Linked DNA regions of Caenorhabditis elegans. The protein of the gene in region 2 purifies or fractionates together with the protein of the main gene of each other region. This does not show direct contact. Each region holds a gene or a part of one and is shown on either strand. Other genes may lie near its edges.

What was found.
Region 1: the proteins of spig-15 (region 2) and hsp-16.49 fractionate together in Caenorhabditis elegans (co-fractionation; one large-scale study listed by BioGRID). This does not show direct contact.

What each region holds. Positions count from the first base shown.
Region 1 is NC_003283.11:9,088,673-9,091,586, forward strand, and holds hsp-16.49 (Heat shock protein Hsp-16.48/Hsp-16.49), read right to left. Parts: upstream 1,095-2,914; coding exon 957-1,094; intron 902-956; coding exon 608-901; downstream 1-607. Other genes in the region: hsp-16.11 (Heat shock protein Hsp-16.1/Hsp-16.11), read left to right, coding at 1,443-1,568, 1,621-1,932.
Region 2 is NC_003284.9:11,992,782-11,996,519, reverse strand, and holds spig-15 (Acyl carrier protein), read right to left. Parts: upstream 1,737-3,738; 5' UTR 1,672-1,736; coding exon 1,636-1,671; intron 969-1,635; coding exon 738-968; 3' UTR 681-737; downstream 1-680.

The DNA.
Region 1 (2,914 bases), on a different chromosome or scaffold from region 2:
TTCATGTTCTCTAGCATAACAAAAACATCAAATCCGACTTTCCAATTCAAATATTTCAAAACAACATAATTGAAGTTATTCCAGAAACTTTTTATGCAAAAAATTTATTAGTCTCAATAAATGTTTTAGCTTGAATTTATGCTTAAAACAAAAAACATAAAAAATGTTTTAAAAAAATTACAGTGCGTGCAACTTCTACAGGGCCCTCATAAAATAGGTTCTTCAAGAGAAAAATCAGAAAATATTTTAAGCTACCAGCTACTCGGCTTCTCAGAAAACTCCTGCGACTTGATAAAAACACTTAAAAACTGTCAAAAGCTGTTATAAAGGTGCAGTTGATCAACACAGTTGTGAGCGAAATTAAGCTGAAAAACTGAATTTTGAAAAAGTTGCAAAAGTCGTTTGAAACGATGCAGGAATTTTTATAGCTAAACGTTTAACGGTTGGTAAAACGTAGCATGAGTATGCTGTAAAGTTGAGCCGTTATGTTGTTTTGAAATATTTGAATTGGAAAGTCGGATTTGATGTTTTTGTTATGCTAGAGAACATGAATAAATTAAATTAATGACTTTATTGAAATTAAGAATATTTGGAATACAATAAAAGATTAATGTTTTGCAACAAAATTAATGGGAATAGAACGAGATGAGTTAGTCTTCTTTGGAGCCTCAATTTGAAGTTTTCCTTCATTCGAAATTGCAGATTTGACAGAAGTTAAATCAACATCTTCTGGTAGAAGAATCATTTTTGAAAATGATCGTTTCGAGTATCCATGCTCTGATTTTTTTTCTTGAATTCCTTCAATTTTTAGTTCTCTTCCATCCAATTCAATTTTAAGATCTTCTGGTTTGAAATGAGAAACATCGAGTTGAACAGAGAATTTAGATTCGTCATTTACAATCTGAAAAATAAAACATTTGACAAATAAACAATTGAAAAAGAGATTATTTTCTTACCTCTCCAATATTGTCGGAAAAATTGAATGAGTTGTGATCAGCATTTCTCCAATATGGAAATTGAACAGATCCAGTGATTTCATCCAAGAAATGATCGAGAACATTTGAATCAGAAAATGGAGAACGGAGCATGAGCATTCTTGAAGTTTAGAGAATGAACAGTAAGCACTTGAACAAAGTGTATTGGTTTCCTCTGAACACGATTGGCTTATATACCCGTATCCTGCAGCCGTTTAGAATGTTCTAGAAGGTCCTAGATGCATTCATTTCAAAATACACCCCATAGGTGCAAAGAGACGCAGATTGAAAAAGTATCTGGGTTTCTTCAGTACGCACACTATTTCTCAATGTTCTGAATGTGAGTCGCCCTCCTTTTGCAAGAAGCAGCTCGAATGTTCTAGAAAAAGGTGGAAATGAGTATAAATACAGTGACAAAACCGAACCAAACAACATTCACTCTAATTGTGAAATCTTCAAACTACAATCATGTCACTTTACCACTATTTCCGTCCAGCTCAACGTTCTGTTTTTGGTGATCTCATGAGAGATATGGCTCAGATGGAACGTCAATTTACTCCAGTTTGCAGAGGCTCTCCATCTGAATCTTCTGAGGTAAGTAACACGTTTTTTTTTCAAGAGTTTGTATAAAAAAGATTTCTTTCAGATTGTTAACAATGATCAAAAGTTTGCCATAAATCTCAATGTCTCGCAGTTCAAGCCAGAAGATTTGAAAATTAATTTGGATGGACATACATTATCAATTCAAGGAGAACAAGAATTAAAGACTGAACATGGATATTCAAAGAAATCATTTTCTCGTGTTATTCTTCTACCCGAAGATGTTGATGTTGGTGCAGTTGCTTCAAATCTTTCAGAAGATGGAAAACTTTCAATTGAAGCACCAAAGAAGGAAGCGATTCAAGGAAGATCTATTCCAATTCAGCAAGCGCCCGTTGAACAAAAAACTTCTGAATAATTATTGTAATTTTATGATTTTTTTGAACTATGCATGTAATTACTATAAATTCCAGTATTCTGTTTCAATAAAATTTAAAAATAATATGAATTTGTGATATTTTTTGAAAGTTAGTAATAAATATGTAAATGCCGGCAATGTACTTCTTGCATAATGCCTATTTTTGGGTATTGCACAGCCCCTCCCATCCTAACACATTCTGCATTGCTCCGCGGAACCCGCCAGATGTCATGCTATACAACACCCTTACCCTCTCTTACCGCCACTTCTTAAACTTACCTGGCTGGGGGTTATCTCGCGATCATGAAGGCGGGATCCCCATGGTGAGGCCTATCCATTGCACTTTTGGATGGGCTGACCTGTGTGGCAGTCTCGAGTTGAGATTCGCCAACAGCTTAATTTTTGCGTATCGGGGCTGCGTGCGCGCGGCCCTGAAAAATATATTAATACTGTTTTCAATAGTAATTGGCATAACGAATCAGTTTCAAGTAAAACGTACGTCAATTTCAGTAGCAGAACGTTCAAACAGTTTTCTATCTGATCGCGATTATAACTCGAAGTCGTTGCCGTAGGAGTCCCTGTTAAAATGCATTTATGATCAGCTGAAATGACAAAATTTCATTATGAAACGAGCGAAAAATTGTTAACTGCTTTTAAAAACGCTCAATCAAAGTTTTGGTAGACTGTCGAATTTCCAAAAAAGAAAGTTGAAGCAAACCCCATATTCCATTACTAATATGGAGTTCACTACAGGGTTGATTTTGGAAACAGAGTATCGATGCTTTTTCCTAACTGAACACGATTTCGCTAATCATACCGGCTTTTTTTAAGAACAGTATTTAGATTTTTTCAGGGCCGCGCGCACGCAGCCCCGATACGCAAAAATTAAGCTGTTGGCGAATCTCAACTCGAGACTGCCCTGAGACTGCGAGTCAGCCCATCCAAAAGTGCAATGGATAGGCCTCACCATGGGGATCCCGCC
Region 2 (3,738 bases):
AATAATAAAAATGTACTTTCTAGAATGTATGTATATTTGAATCAGAACTACTTTATTTTACAAAACATAGAACTGTTTCCACATTTCCTTGCAGGTAGAAACTTCTAAAATTACAAATTCGAATACCTCTAAATAAAATGTTATCTTATTCGTTAACAATTTTTCAAAGGTTCAAAAAACATTTTATATCACATTTAGAATATAATAATTTTTCTTTGGCATTTTTGCAGACGTAGTGAACTCAGAAACTAGCCTTAAACCTTATCTCTAAAGAACTAACTTTTTATCTGAATGTGTTTTTTATCTACTAAACTTTTATTTCTGTTTTATGGATATAGTTTGGTGTAACATAACACAGATTTTTGCTCAAAATGCAACTCTTTGCACTTGCACTTTTGAGCAATTTCTTAACTGACAGATGTATCCCATTCTAAAAGATGGAACAATCTAAAACAATGAAAACGGCAAAGGTGACTTATTTGCATTATATTTATTTTAATCTGCCCTTAAAAACAACTCTACAGACATGTTTGCAAGAACATGTGTCATCACCGCATGCGTCAGTAGTCTGGGAGAACATTCCATTCGTTTTTGCCGTAAATCATAGCACAACTCGAACAGAGTTATAGTTTTGAAATTTCGATTTTTGTACCTACATAAATTTTTGAATTCAAAAAACTGTCTTAAAAACACTTCATTGTGGAAAATGCATTTATTTCAATCATCAGCAAATTTGCTTAAGCATTTCCACTGTTCACACGATTGACCACATCCTGGACAGTGCTCAACGGTTCAATATCTGACGGTTCGGTTGGCACTTCGAAAAATGAAGTCAAGGCCTCTGCAATCATTGTATCAAAATATTCGGCACGATCCTGGTCATGTGCTTTAAAGTCAAAGCTATTGTCGATTTGATCGGCAGGCTGTTGAACTAGGAATGCGATCAGTTGTTGTACCTTTCCTTCGACCTAAACACAAGTGAATTTGTCATTTATTGAAGAAGTTTACAGACTTTCATATACGTAATAAACCCAAAGATTAGTTTCTGCACTTATCTTTAAGGAAACAGTTATCTCTCTCATAAAAGTAATTTCTAAACAAGTTTGGAACTAAAAAAAAACATTGCTATTTTTCTAAACATTCATGTAATTTAAGTATTTCAAAGCAAATGATTGTGAATATTAATTTGTGTTAAAGTAAAAACTGCGTAGTTTTTAGGATGTACATAATGTCTAATGTTGCATTTTTTTTCTAGTTTTTTTGTAGGTAAAACATGCTAAATTGGATGGAAAACAGTTATGAGATGTTTTTTGAGTTGTTTCAAGATTATATCAAGTCTTAATAAAAATAACTTTAATTAATTGTTTCTTCAATTTTTTTGTTTTAACTGTTCTTAAAATATCCAAATGCCTACATTGCCTGGGTTCGAACATGCGATAGTGCTCTAGATTTCTTAAAAAATGATGCAAAGTCAGTTTTCATCACTACTTGACTCTAAATCAAAAAGTTTCCAAATTTTTTTAAAAGTTTTATTCGGATATTTAATTATGGTTAATTTGGCACCATAGCAACAAGTTTTAATCATTTGCCAGTGGCCGTAGTCAACCTTTAGATTATATGTTTTGTTAAACTTACAGATGGTGCAGTGAGATATTCTTGAAACATTTCCATTTTCGGAGTAGGAAGTTGACCAAATTTTCGTTAGTTTCGTTAGTACAAAATAAAAATCTATCTGTAACTGATATTGTGAAAATACCTTTTATACAGACAAAAAAAGGTGGAGATGTCTTCTGACACGGTCGTATCTATCTTCTTTGCCTATTTCAAGAACAGCACGAGATTCGAATGATAAAATTCGTTCAAAAATAAAAAGAGAAAGATAATCAAACGAAGTTTCAATGCGATTTTTCACAAACAACCACAAGTTGCGTTGTTCATTGGCAATTAACTTTTGAAACAACACAGTTTTTACGGCTTGCAAATTGACCTTTAGATATGTACTTTTTGAGAACTGTACAAAAAGCAGAATGAAAAGTCTACAAGTGAATTTAACGGTTCTTTTTTTTAATTTTCAAGTGTTTGGGAGAAGGCAGTTGAGAGAAACTGAGTGGATTTTTTACAATACAGAACGAGTGAATACCAGAGGTTGAATATGATTGAGAAGAATTGCACTTCATTCAAAACTATTCGTCCTATCATATACATGAAGTATTGCAGGAGAAAGTGTAAATAATCATGTGTACAGTTTATGCGGAATTTTAGTTGGAGGCTTGAATTAGTTTATTGAATATTTTCAAAGGGTGACTTTTTTTTAAATTATGAAAAGCAATTTTTGAAAAATTAAAACGTTTATACATATTTGTATTCTTTATACATTTATCAAGATGGACAACCGGTGGGAGAAACAAAAATGGCAAAAGCAGAATGAATTAAAATAAAAGAGACCCGACAACGTTATTCTATTGAAGAACAATTTTTATGGTCAGTGCACAAATAAACTTCCAGCAAAAAAATCAGTGGCCGAAAGTTCAATGAAATGAATAAAAATCATAATAAAACATTTTAAATTGTTCAGAAGTTTTTAAAATATCCAGTCACTGTTATTCTAACATCAAAATATACGGTACCGGAATTTCCGTAGGAATCTAAATTGTTATTAAGTTGCCATGTCTTCAGAAGTTGCCGGATATCAACATTGGATCGTATCTCATCCACATTTCGACGTTCACTTCACTTGTTATGGCTATTTTCATCACCGAATTCATTTGATGATGCTTCATCGTCCACAAAAACTTTTTCGAAATTGGATACTCTCAAGAGAAATCATCATTAATTTTTTAAATGAATCGGCAGTAATGATAAAGTTATCACTACTTGGAAAAAATAAAATATTTGCTGATAAAGACCTGATTTCTCGAGATCTCTCGGCCTGCGTAGTATAGTGGTTAGTACTCCACGTTGTGGCCGTGGCGACGCTGGTTCGATTCCAGCCGCAGGCAACTCCTTTTGATGTGCTTTATGTATTATTATAGTGCAGTTAGAAGGTCCAACACTCCAAGCAATGTTGTCAGATATAGGGCTGTGCAACCGGACGTCCGTTTTTTTCGGACGTCCGAAAAGCCGGACGCCGGACGCACCCACCGTCCGGTTTTCGGACGCGGGTGCGTCCGGTTTTTTTTGTTTTTTGTTTACATCTCAGTGAGAATGAGTGAGGTTGTAAACAAAAAACAAAAAAACAAATTTTCGGACGTCCGAAAAACCGGACGCCGGACACACACGCGTCCAGTTTTTCCGGACGCCGGACGCACACGCATCCGGACGCCGGACGTCCGATTGCACAGCCCTAGTCAGATAGAATCTTGTAAAATAGTCAGCGTCAACTAAAATTTGAACATATGAAATTTTCAAACACCTTTCAAATAACTCGCTTGTGATATATTGTCACTAACTCCGTTTCCATTAATTTTCAATGTTCTCCTCCCATTTTTCTGTTTCATAAATACACTCGCCGCAGCAACGCTGTCCCACTTATCATCCAATGAAATGCAGGGGCAATGTTTCACCGCGCCACTAAGGAAACCACCTGACCCGTTTTATGTTATATACCCACTAAATATCTTGTGTATCTTGTGTAATATATATTTATTAAACGTAGTTGTTAGCAAAAAGTTGCTTGAGAGATTATTGCTTGTTTTAAAAATTAAATCACAAAATTTCTGAAGTTGGAAACGTCAATTT